Linked DNA regions of Danio rerio. The protein of the gene in region 2 purifies or fractionates together with the protein of the main gene of each other region. This does not show direct contact. Links are inferred from orthologs where the notes say so. Each region holds a gene or a part of one and is shown on either strand. Other genes may lie near its edges.

What was found. Proteins that work in one complex are often made in the same cells at the same time.
Region 1: the proteins of cdc27 (region 2) and nek2 purify together in Homo sapiens (affinity purification with mass spectrometry; 6 studies listed by BioGRID and IntAct, with this or other methods). This does not show direct contact. The link is inferred for Danio rerio from reciprocal best matches to the Homo sapiens genes CDC27 and NEK2.

The regions. Positions count from the first base shown.
Region 1 is NC_133195.1:15,124,064-15,129,751, forward strand, and holds part of nek2 (serine/threonine-protein kinase Nek2), read left to right. Parts: intron 1-421; coding exon 422-504; intron 505-842; coding exon 843-969; intron 970-3,515; coding exon 3,516-3,738; intron 3,739-5,688. UniProt on the Homo sapiens protein: Protein kinase which is involved in the control of centrosome separation and bipolar spindle formation in mitotic cells and chromatin condensation in meiotic cells.
Region 2 is NC_133178.1:20,780,053-20,787,928, reverse strand, and holds part of cdc27 (cell division cycle protein 27 homolog), read right to left. Parts: intron 7,773-7,876; coding exon 7,661-7,772; intron 5,368-7,660; coding exon 5,252-5,367; intron 5,175-5,251; coding exon 5,075-5,174; intron 4,829-5,074; coding exon 4,624-4,828; intron 2,129-4,623; coding exon 1,956-2,128; intron 1,835-1,955; coding exon 1,682-1,834; intron 1,586-1,681; coding exon 1,377-1,585; intron 1,228-1,376; coding exon 1,110-1,227; intron 982-1,109; coding exon 853-981; intron 1-852. UniProt on the Homo sapiens protein: Component of the anaphase promoting complex/cyclosome (APC/C), a cell cycle-regulated E3 ubiquitin ligase that controls progression through mitosis and the G1 phase of the cell cycle.

The DNA.
Region 1 (5,688 bases), on a different chromosome or scaffold from region 2:
CACACACACACACACACACACATTATGGCCAATTAAGTTCATCCAATTCAGCTATAGCGCATGTCTTTGGACTGTGGGTGAAAACGGAGCTCCCAGAGGAAACCCACGTGAACATGGGGAGAACATGCAAACTCCACACAGAAATGCCAACTGGTCCAGCTAAGACTCGAAGCAACAGTGCTAACCACTGTGGCACCTGTCCTTTATATTTATGCATACTAAAATCAAACAGATTAATGGTGTACAGTTATTTTGGACCAAGTTCTTTCAAGTACAATTCTGTGTGCCTGGAAAGAATATCATCCTCAGATACCTAGAACAATTTTTCGTTGTCAAATCTTCATGTCTTGGCATGCATAAGTATTTATCTGTGTACCAGTTTCATCATGTTTTATTAACACCTTTTCTCTTACGTTCACAGGAACAAATGAATCGCATGTCCTATAATGAGAAATCGGATATATGGTCTTTAGGGTGTTTACTCTATGAACTATGTGCTTTATCGTAAGTATAAATGTATTCTTGTTCTCCTCAGTTTTTTTAATACTGTGTACATTGACTGAATTTAAAGGGATAGTTTAAGCCAAAAAATAAAAATTCTAGCAATATTTACTCACAATTCACTTGTTCCAAAACTGTTTGAGCTGTTTTTTTCTGTAGTACACAAAAGATATTTTGAAGAATGTTGGGGAAAAACTTCAACAGTATGTCAAAGGGTGCTTTCCCCCCCACGTTCTTAAGAATATCTTTTGTCTTCAACAGGTGAAAGAAATTTAAAAGTATATAAAAGTTTAGAACTGATTGAGTGTGAGTTAATGAGAAATTTTATTTATTTTTTTTAGGCCCCCATTTACAGCATACAACCAGACAGAGCTGGCTCGAAAAATCAGAGAAGGCAGATTTCGAAGAATCCCATACCGATACTCGGATGAGCTAAACACACTGCTTTCAAAAATGCTCAACTTAAAGGTAAATATTGGTGAGGGTAAAGTATGCAACAGTCTGAAAGTAACAACACCACTCATTGTCTTCATTGTGAATTCAATTGTATTGTATAACAGCTGAATTTGTGGAACAACTGTATCTGTAGTAAACAATATCCATGACCCTGTTTTTCACAGTGGAATATGGGATCTCCACCTTCATCTGCAAGCATATTAATTTTATTTTATCTGTGCATTTATGTTTCTACTCTAACATTGAACTGTCTTAAAAGTTAAGATTAAAAACACTATATCTACCTTCTACCAAAAAGTGCATTTCAACACCATTTCAAACATGTGATTCAATTATTTACAATATAAAAGTATGCTGTTTGTTCACAAAACATACAGTACATTCACCGGCCACTTTATTAGATACACCTTACTAGTACCGGGTTGGGCCCCTTTTTGCCTTCAGGACTGCCTTAATCCTTCGTGGCAAAGATTCAACAAGGTTCTCGAAATATTCCTCAGAAATTTTGGTCCATATTGACTTCATAGCATCACACAGTAAGTTGCTGCAGATTTTTTGGCTGCACATCCATAATGCAAATCTCTCATTCCACCACATCTCAAAGGTGCTTTATTGGATTGAGATCTGGTTACTGTGTGGACCATTTGAGTACAGTTCACTCGCGGTTTAGGACATGGCATGTTATCCTGCTGGAAGTAGCCATCAGAAAATGGGTACACTGTGGTCATAAAGACATGGACATGGTCAGCAACAACACTCGGGTAGACTATGGCATTGACACGATTGCTCAATTGGTACTAATGGGCCCAAAGTGTGCCAAAAAAATATCCCCTACACCATTACACCACTAGCCTGAACTGTTGATGCAAGGCAGGATGGATCCAGGCTCCAGGGGTTATATGAGTTACTGTTGTCTTTCTATCAGCTGGAACTAGTCTGGCCATTCTCCTCTGACATTCAACAAGACGTTTGTGCCCACAGACCTGCTGCTCACTGGATATTTTTTTATTTTTCAGTCCATTTTCTGTAAACCCTACAGAAGATAGTTGTTGCTGAAATTCCCAGTAGATCAGCAGTTTCTGAAATACTCAGACCACCCTGTCTGGCTCCAACATCTATGCCACATTCTTAAATCACCTTTCTTCCCCATTCTGATGCTCAGTTTGAACTGCAGCACATCGTTTTTAACTTGTCTACATGCATAAATGCAGAGTTGCGGCTATGTGATTGGCTGGTTAGAAATTTGCGTTAAGGAGCAGTTGGACAGGTGTACCTAATAAAGTGGCCAGTGAATGTAGATTTGTTTTCAAAGTCAGTGCATGTCATAAGTGAATTAATTAGCTTATTTAATGCAGTTTTTTTTTTAGCTTTATTAACACCTAAATTGAATGAGTTTGGCACCCTGTTACTAAACTTACCGACATGTCTTGTAACTAAAATACAACAACTCGCAGTATACAGTTAAACAGAGTAACTTAACAATGAGTAAAGTTTTCCTTTACAGTTGCCCATGTGGTAATTTGTAATGTTTTAACTAACTACTATTCTACCAGTCACAGTTTTGCATTAAGGGTATAAAATGGCATCTTGGCACGGTGACATTACATTATCATTTAGCATCAAATTAATCTGCTTTTAGTAACTTCCTTGGCCAACACTGGTTGAGTAACATTACAATCTCATGACTGACTGATTATTTTAGTGAGATGCCATTTGCTTCAGTAAGTTGTACTGTTCCCCTAACCTACTTGAATGATCATTTTGTGGTTTTGTCATTTGTGTTGTATCTGTAACTACTTTAAATAACGTTCACATTCTACTTTATCTCCTCACTGACCGCAGTTGGACAGCCCAGAGGCCTGAAAGCTCCACTCAGTTTTCAATATTAACTGTTTTTAAAAAAAAAATAGAATTATAAAGGTCATACAGATGATGAATTATAATTAATAAGTTTGATGGTTTTATGCTTCAAGTCTGCATAACGCGGCAGTTAAGATTGTTCTTTTTTCCTATATTTTGACATGCTTCCAAATGAAACTGTCATAAAATGAGAAATTAATGTCAGGGAGTGCTTGATATCATCCATTGGGAGGTGGTTGGAATATGGACATTAGTAAGGACAAATGGGTGAACCAAGAACCGCACTGATTGTTTCACCCTAAATGCATTCCATGTGATCAGAAGTGAAGTCATTTTAAGGGGAGAGGGTAGGTTATGATATTTTATTAAAGATTCTGAGAGAATTTTTAAGAAATAATCTAGTGCACATTTGCATTGTTATAGCAAACACAACTATAAACTTATATAAAAATAATATTACATTTTGATTCCATGCCAACTTTATAGCACATTTTAATTTAAGATTATCAAACAGATTGCTCTGAGGATGTCTGCCTGCATGTTTTAGCATATAATTACCATTTTCATACATTGGCTGAATGTTTGAAACATGTTTAACACATCGTTAGCATGTATTTTTACTTCAGATGTTGACTACTATATATTGCAGAATGTGTTTGGGCACATCCTGACTGGTGGTCTTTTTTTTTTTTTGTCAGGACTATCTGAGGCCCTCTGTGGAGTCCATCCTGCAGAATGGTTTGATCTCCGGTTACGTGGCCCTCGAGCAGAAGAGGCTCCAGGAGAAACAGCGGCGCAGATCAGATGAGGCAGAGCAGCCCAAACATCCAGAGTCACCACTTCTGGCAGAGCTGCGGCTTAAAGAGCAGATTCTCCGAGAGCGAGAGCAGGCCCTCAAAGAGCGAGAGCAGCGGCTAGAGCGTAAGCACACTGTTGTTGGCCTTCTGAAAGCTAAAGGGACAGTTCAAACCATTTTATTTGTGTTATGATTTACTCATCCTCCACTTGTTCCAATCCAACATTTGTTACTTTCCTTTGTTAGATCTTTTCAGGAATGTTTCAAAAAATGCCCATAGACTGTTTTCACACAGTCTCCATTTTAAAAGCAAAATCGAGGCTGCGGTGGGAAGAAACCCAAAAGTATTGCCTGGAGCTGCACAGAGATGTTGTGTAGCTGGCTGTAAATCTTATGAGCGAAGAGAAAGTGACACGAATTTATTATTTCACCCCCTTTCGAGTGACCTGAAGGTCTGTTCTGAATGGATACTAAAAATAAAGTTGATGAACTAATTCTTTCACTGTATCAGACCTATCACAATACTGAATTTTGACAGTGAAAAAATTTTAAGGATTTAAATTTCCAGCTAATAGAAGTGCTAGAATGTTCTTAAACGCAGCTGATTTGCCATTAGTGTTCACTAGTGCTCAACATAAATGACTGTGATTGGCCGTAAAGGTCATCAGTTCACTGCTGTTCACTGATGTTTACCGAGTGCAAACACAAACTGGCAATCGACTAATCTTTACGGCTTTAAGACACTCCAGTGTTTCTATATTTTTGTTTGTGAGATACTTTTACCATCTCACTCGTGGCAAGTTTAGGCGAAGGAATGTTTACCAAGTAAAACTCAGACAGTTTAGTTTATTCTGCTTTAAACCTGCAGGAAAATATCAGGGTTTGCTAAAAGACAGTTTATTTTACCATCAATCAGGGTCAATAATGGTAGCCTAGTACAGATTTCAAAGAAAAAGCCTAATATTAAAAAAGGAAACATAAGCTGGACCACAACAGATCAGCATCAAGTTTTAGATTGTGCCATCTACTATATACAGTAGACTTACAGGTCTGTTATTTTTACTAAGGAAGATACATTATTTGAGCCCCAGAACTATAGAAACTGTATTAGGTTTTAAAAAAATACATAAAAAATACGGCACAGTATCGGGATTGGGTCTGTATCGATCGATACTCAGTTTTAGTATCAGGATCGGATCGTTTCCAAAAAATGGTATCGGTGCATTCCTAGTAGACTGTTAGGTTGGGGTTAGGGTAAGTTGACATGTACTAGCAAAGTTTCTTATATAGTCAGTAAAATCTATGTTGAAGGAGCAGTATCAACAGATATTAATCAGACCGGACCATCAAAATAAATTAAACCATCAAAATAAAGTGTTACCAGTGGACTTTCAATGAAGGAACGGAAATTGGCAGAATCCATAAGTAACTTAATTTCTTTTCAGAAGACAAATAAAAGCCCTGTGGTTTTGGAAAAATTAAAGATTTTCATTTTGAAATGGATCATTATCATTTACTTGCTGTTATCAAATGCTACATCTAAAAATATTAATTGTCCTAATTTACCCACTAATTAACTTTTTTTCATTTCACTCATTAATCAAACCCACAAGAATTTTGATCCTCCTCACACAACTGAAGACTTTTGTTAGATTTGTCTAGATTTGTTGTCTGTCAGGTGAGCAGATTTGAGTTTGACCATATTTGATGTGCTACAGTAAATCCATCGATGTTTAAATGGAATTAATATCCCCAAATAAATCTATTCAAGTGTGTCTTCAGGAGACTTTAAAGGTCCTGTGAAACAAAAAAAGTTTTTTAGTTGTTAGTTAGTTTTAAGGACATCAATTAGCTATTGTTCTCCAAACAGTGACATAGTTTTCCTTTAAAAATGTTAATTTGATATAAACATACAAAGCTTGAAGTGTCACCGCAGCCTAAATGCATCAACGTTTTTATCATGTCACCTCATACTTCAGTTACTCATCAGATCTTCACCAATCAAATGCTCTCTAGTATCTGTCATGCCGGCCTGCCCCCTTCAAGACGCTTCTCGTTTGCTTTTCATTTGATGC
Region 2 (7,876 bases):
TTGCCGTCTGTCTGTCACTGAATGTGTCAGGAATATCAAAACAAAATCAACTTAGCTCTGCTCTTTTAGTGCCCCTCACACTGCTTGATCCACGCTAGTATTTCTCCTTTTGGATTTTAGGTTTTGAAAAGGGGAAAAATTCCACCGCCCAGTCCAAACTCTAAGGATACCGGGTATCAGATTTGCACAATCCATATGCACTCGCTCGAAAACTTGACAGAGCCCCTGCGCGTAGCTACAGTTGCTAAGCCACGATTGGTGGGTGGCAGTTATTGGGCAGGGCTTAGCGAAGGGTCAATTATGTTTGGTTTTGGCCATGCATAGGAAACGTTTGAGCACCCCTGATATTGACCCTATTCTTAAATGTGATAGTGCACTCGTTTTTGCGATTGTTTAAGAACTTCTGATTCAGTCGTCTATCGGAGAAATGACTAGGAATAATAAACGGCAAATAAACGGTCCTCTATAAGCAAGTATGTTCATGACAACACGGACGAAGCAGAATAGTAAAACAAAAAAAGATCAGTTTGCAACATCAAGCAGAAGAAAGAACGGTTTTTAATGTCACAAAAATGAATGGAAGTGAATGAGACCAGCAGTCTCCAGCCAAAAAGATTCAAACGGCTGTGCTCGCTCATACACGTAGAATAAGGTGAATAGATTGACGAGCAACAATCGTAAAGAACTATTAAACTGCATATGGTTCACTCTGCAGTAGCGGTTGCCTGTTGTTTTGCATGTTTAAGTATTAAGGGGCGGTGTATTTTTGCTTTGATGTCAGATTTCAAATATAACAGAGTTTCTCAGAAATCACTCACTGCACCTAACATTATAGTACAAGTAGAGCAGTACCTTGTACTTTTCATTGGCAAACAGAATTGAGGCCCTATGGAATTTGCATAGCGGATTCTTAGGGTCGATGCTAATGGCTCTGTTAAGGGTCTCCAGTGCATGGTCTGATTTCTTCAAAGCATGTTGAACCTGACAGAGTACATGAGAAACAATATGAAGATGCAGCACAGCAAAAATCCTATCAGAAATTTTAAACAGTGATTATCATGTTATGTTTTATGCATAACCAAAAAGTACATAAAGGCTGATTTACTCACCACTCCGATATGACAGAGTAGCACAGAGCTCTGAGGATTGATGCTAAAAGCTTTCTTGAAATGAATCTCGGCTAGATTAAACTTCTCCTGCTTATAATAAATCATTCCCAAGCCATACCTGTGGTAAGAGACAGAAAGATGAAGTCTTTTTGCTTCTGAAATAGCAGATGGTACTTATCTGTCAGACAACTGGATAAGTAAAATGATTGTGAGTGAACGACTTATTTAATGGTTTTTTTTTGGTGTCATGTAAAGTAACAAACATACCAGGCATTGTAGTGACGTTTATTGAGGCGTATAGCATTGCGGAAGCAACCCAGGGCTTTCTCCAGCTCCTCTGTGAGAACCAGTTCATGCCCTAATAGTGTATAAGCGTAAGCAAAGCTGGGGTCCACCTGGATGGCCCGTGTGAAGAACTTAATGGCGATGTCATGCTCCCGCTGTAAGCTGAAACAGTTACCAACTACACACCAGGGCTGTAAAGAGGTGGAAAAACAAAAAGATAAGCAGCTGATTTACTGAACTGAATAATATTCCAACTAATAATTGCATTACTGCCTTGATAAACTTACCTCAGGTGAGTTTTTGTCCATGTCAGTGAGGTCTTTAGATAGGGCAGAAAGTGCCACATCCTTTTGTAAATGCCAAAGTGTTGTTGAGTAGATGTCCATACCCTCTACTCGATAGCTCTCTATACGTCGGACTTCTGAAAAAATCCTCTCCGCCTAATTAAACAGACAAAAATATCTTCTGTGAGAACAAACAAAAACATTTTCCACTACTTGCCATTATAATTTGAATGCCTTTGGTAATTGATTTCACCTCATTTCTGCAACGCAGACTCACCTGCATGTATTCAGCCAGTTCAAAGTGTGCTCGCCCGATCTGACCCAGCACCCAGCCCGTGTTGTAATGGTGTGAAGGTAGCTGACTCAAGATGTTAATGGCCTCTCGGCAGTTATAAGAGCAGAGAGCAAGATATCCCCTCCCAATATCCCGCATCAGGGTCATCAGCCCGTCTAAAGAAAACCGCAAACAAAATCAGCAACCTGCTTCAGGGTGTTGCTCAAATACAAGAGAAAAGAGAAAAATTAAGTAGCCCAAAGAGAAAATTAAGTAGTAGCTCAAAATCTAACACAAAAAAGCATGAATTAATAATATAAATAATGTACTTTCAACTTTATACATAAGTCTCTACGACAATGAAATGCTTATAATGTTCAGGATAATGCAGCATGTTTAGTTTTGTACTGTAAAGTTGTTCTACAAATAAATGGGAATAATTCAAACTATAATCAAAGTAAGAAAGTATATAGTCTCAAATACTCTTCTTATCACCACAATTTTGTTTTAATTACCCTGTAACGTCATGGATCACTATGATAATATGCTTTAAAAAAAAAAAAAAAAAAAAAAAAAAAAACAGTGTTCTCACCATGTAATTTTATTTTGTTTAATTTGTTATAGAAATGAAAGCACCAAACGCAAGTAGGGATACAACGATTAACCATTTTCACTATTAACCACTTTAATTTGTCACGGTTAATTAAACATAAGTTTCTCAACATCGTGTTTCTGCAAAGAACAAAACTGGTGCAACTAAACGTTCCTGCAACTGTGCGCTTGTTTAAAGTTCAGAGCTTGTACACAATGGCTAATATGCACGTACAATGGATTAGCTATGGCTGAGGATATTAACTAAGGGCCGTTCACATGTCGCATCTTTTGTGTGCTAAAGTTCGATATTTCTTTTTTTTGCGAGCATATTGGGAGTGACGTGCACACAACGCGCTCAAGCTTTTCAGGCGCACATAGTTGAAACAGGGCTTGAAATTGGTCTCATATGGGCCCAAAATTTTATCGATGCGACTTCAAATATATATTTTGTAGCATTTGGGCGAGTGCATAAATTGTTGCCGTGCGACCAGTTTTCACTGCAAAATGTTAATCGCATGCACGTATTTAAGAAAATTCATGCAGAAGGCATCTTTGCACCAAACACAGCGCTCAAGAAAAGTTTAAAACAGTTGACATGTGAACTTGCTGCAGTAAACAAATCCCACAATGCTTGCCCCGTCTTTAAGCTCTTCTGATTGGCCTCCTGCTCTAAAACACAACACGAATGGATTGGTTAATATCAGCTGTCAATCACTCAATTCAGATGACCGGGAGCTACAGCCACGAAAGCATAAAGGTCTGGATAAGAGACAATAAAAATAACACTGAGAGATTTTGTTTTAGAAATCACCTGAACTTACAAATAATGGCACATCTGATTAGTGATCATGGAGTGAATGTTAATCCACTATTTATACTTTTTCTAAGAGTGGATACAAGACTTCCAGTGGGTTAAAGTCCGCTATGAAAATGATGAAAGCATTCACTGTAAAGCTGGTTGGACAGTTTTCAGGTAACCGTGTTTGCCACATCAACACATTTTAAGCACGAGATCTTCTAACGTTGTTTCATCCATTAAATCCTCACAATGCTGTCAGTCGTGCGACTGGTACCGCATTCACCATCGCAAAAGAGCATGCATTCACTGAGATTAAACTACTGCATCTCATCGAAAGACCGTTATTGCTATTAAGATGACGTATGCAAATTAGTTATATGTTAAAATCATGTGTGCAATGTCAGAAACCACCCATGAGAACAGCAAAGTTATTATTGTTAACTCTGTTCATCCCATTCACATCAAGCAGTGCGTGCAGAGCCAGTGGGCTCATGCATATTGTTTTTCGTTTGTTAGTTTTGATTATAGTTCATTTCAAATGCAATACATTTGTTAATACAAAACTTATTTAATATAATAGTAACGGTGCTCATAATTGTTGGTAGGTGCTCCTAAATTTTGCCTGGTGCGCCTAAATTTCTGAAGTTAGGAGCACCGCTGCTACCAATAAAAAAAGGTTAATTTCGAGCCCTGTGAAAGAATTGCGTGAGCGCACCACAAGTCACATGACAAGAACCATTTAGCTTCATATTTTGTATGGAATATAAATATTCTACTCCAGAAAAAAAATAATAATAAATTCGAAACATGTTCATAATATAGTTGATCAAAAGTGCCTTTCAGACAGGGGTTTAGCAGCCTCTGACTACATTTGTTCTTATTTACTTATTCATTGTTCTGTCATTTATTTTCAGTTTAAAATTTCACTTTCACTTCTTTTTAAGTCCAAAGAGAAATGTGTGTTTTGAAATTACTGAATGTATAATCGTGATTATTGCTTAGACTATAATCTTACAACTAAAATTTATAATCGTTGCATCCCTGAGTTTTATCACTGAGTTTAGTCTGTTTGCAAACAGTATATTTTTTTCAGTATATAATTTGTATTTTATGGTATATGATCAGTAGATTACACATTTTTAATTTTCTAAGGTTTAAGTAGTTTTCAATCAAAAGAACAGTCTCCATTGCGTGTAATTGTGAGCAGCATGAACAATACGTTGTTAGTTGCAATTCACTTAACCCCTTAAAAAAAAAAGGTGAAGAATCGTCAGATACCTGCAGCAGCCTTTTGTAGATTAAAAGCCTGGAACTGCGGTGAACTGATGTTGCCTTTGCCCTCTGATAAGGATGAATCTAACTTGAGGATCTCGATGCTCTCATTCAGATTAGATGGGGTGATTCCTCCCTTACCCGTTTTCGTTTTGGTCTTTCGGTTAGGAATCTTGGTGGGGAACTTCATTTTCAGCTTCTTACTGTTCTCCTGTTTGGTTTAAACATTGATAATGTATTCATAAGACTTTGAGTGAATGTCTTCCTATGAGATATCAACAAAGGTCCCAAGATCTGTTTGGTGACTGACATGCTTACAAATATCTTCCTTTGTGTTTAGCAGAACGAATAAATGTACACAGGATTGGAACAAACAATGATAATGATTTTGTGGTGAACTGTACCTTAAAAGGTTTTAAGAAGTGCATGTTAGAATTTGTATGCGTAAAAAGATTACCTTGGCAGTGGAGCTGGCACTGGTGAAGAGTCTTGAGCTCCGCCGTGGCTGCACATTTGGGGGAGCAGCAATGGTTTGGCTCAGCACTTGCGGTGTAGTACTAAAAACCAGAAAGAGAGATCATCAGAAGCCATCGCTACAGCCATAAACTGCCTGTATAAATGTGTGGTGATGTACCTGGTCTGTGGAGCAGTAGTCTGAGTTTGGATAAAGGGGTTTGGAATGACCTCTCTGCTGTTGCCACTTTGTGCAAACACTGACTTCGTCCCCACTGTTCTGATTCTACTGACAGCCTGAAATTAAAATTTAATTATTGAATTTATTTTCAAGACATTATTTACATGATCTCATAAATTGAATTCAGAATGTTGACAGCTGCATTACAAACAGAGAGAGAAACAAAGTGCCCTCTACAGACAACCCAAAACAGTTAAAAATAAGATATAAAATCATGCCATTACGTGTACTTCACAAGCCAATTTAGTAGGGATGGAAGCGAGACTTCAGAGTTTATTATCAGCTTTAAATGGCCACTGCAATTTGACTAAAGCAGTTTACAAACGGTTTATTAAATTACACTTTTCTATAACACATAGGCTTATAACAATAAAAAAAAAACACACATCAACAATGAATACTTTATAAGATCAAATCTAAAACTTTGTCCCAAGCCCAATTCTATTTTTTTACCTCTACCCTTCCCCTTAGGCCTTGAAATCAGGTGTGAATGCGAAGGGCTTTAAGATTTACCCCTAAGAAACGGGACAGCACTACAGCACCTGCACATGTCATCATACGTCATTGCGATCTCTTGCTTTATATGAGATCAGACGATTGTGACTGCTGTAGTTTTTCCAGTTGCGTTATTTTTTGGTATTTATCTTCTGGAAATCACTAAAGGCATATGTTATGTCATCATAACGATATAATGTGGTAATAGATCATAACTGTACTGTGCATTATAGCGGCCAGATTCATCTATGTAAACATACGCAGTACAAGAGTTATTATTAGAGATTATAGATAGCGAAATTTAGCAGTTTTTATTTTAGCTTTTTTTTTAAAGCATGACAATAAAGCATGAACTGCGTTATAAATGTATTAAAACATATGCTTGTTTGTTGTAAATTCAAAATAATGAAAAAAAAAAAAAACATACTAATTTGTGCATGTCCTGACTTCTGTGTGCAGTCATGACGCCATTTTATATGGTGTATTTTCTAACCCACTGGTTTAGAGTGTGGTCCTGAAAAATATCAGTTTGTAGGGATATGTAGCCCCTCCCCTTAGCCCTATGCCTTCAAGGTAAAGAGAATCGGGACACCTCCACCCCTACCCCTTCACGTGAACAGGCAAAACAAGGGGTAGGGGTAAGGTGAAGGCCTGAGTGGTAAAATTGTAATCAGGCCTTACTTTTGATAAAAAGCTACACACATTTTTTTTAAACAGGGTTACTGCAGGTTTCATCAAGAAAATTAAGACATTTTAAGACATTAAAACTATGAAGAATGAAATTACAGATATATAAAAGGCAAAACGCTAAGGATTTTTTAAATAGCCCAGCAGATTTTTAAGCCACAAATTTGAAATAATGTGTCAAAACAAGGAGACCTTAGTAGAATACGTACATTTTTTTTTTCAACATAACTTAAACTCTTTAAAAGCTAAAGGTATGCACAACAGACTGGTATAATATTAGTTATGAACAGCTTTGCCATGTACTGTTGGTGATTGAATACGTGTTGGATCAATTGGGTAGCTTAAACAAAATAAACAAAGGAAGATTAAGACCCGTTTAAAAAAAAATTCAGACCTACAAGACAATATTTTAGTAAATTGAAGACTTAAAGGATTTACATGTAAAATTACACTTCTTTAAAGTTTCTGCAGTTGAAAACCTTTGTAGAAATGGTAGGAGGGAAAACTAATTTTGTCTTTTAAATAAAGCTGTATGTGTGTTGCATTTCCTTACAAAGAACTAATTTATTGATTATATTATTTTTTGCTCAGACTCCCACATCTCAAGATGTAAAAATGTCATATCCCTAACAAATACAGAAAATATATTGATGTGCAAATTATTGATCAGGGACTTAAACAACAACAACAACAACTGATACTGCACGTTTAAGGCCTTACAGTTAGGCCCAAAGGAATCTGTGCATGCAGAAAAATGTGTAATGTAATGTGTAAATGTGACAATTTATATTTCAGTTTTTAAATAAATTTCAGTAATAATATTGACTAATATAAAAAAAAGTGTTCATTTGATTTACAATACAGTTTGTAAAGTAATATTTTCTACCTATAAGTAGATATATGATATGAGAGACTTGATGGATTTGCATTGTAAACATTAAATAAAAGATATTTTATTTCACATATTAAATTTTTAGTTATGATGCTCCCAAAATAATTCCACACAAATCCGCCGATTTTTTACAAAATTCTTCACAGAAATAGCAAGAATAACCGCAGATTCTGTCTTGGCCCTACTTACAGTTATAGCAATAAAAACAAAGATAGTTAGCTACAATTAGACACTAGTACTTTAATACTAATCTGCTATAAATAAATAAGGCTTACCTTCTTTGGGGGGCCAGGCGCAGGAGGTGGCTCCATCCCAGTTCCACTGTGACCATAACTCTGCAGGTACGCTGGATCTCCTGGGCTTGGCTCCAGAGGCAAAATTCCAAAACTACACCATTTAAACAGAGAGACTAATTACTAGACTAAAAACATAACAGATCAAAGTTCTTCACATCCATGAAGAGAAAGAATTAATGAAGAACGTTTGTTTGT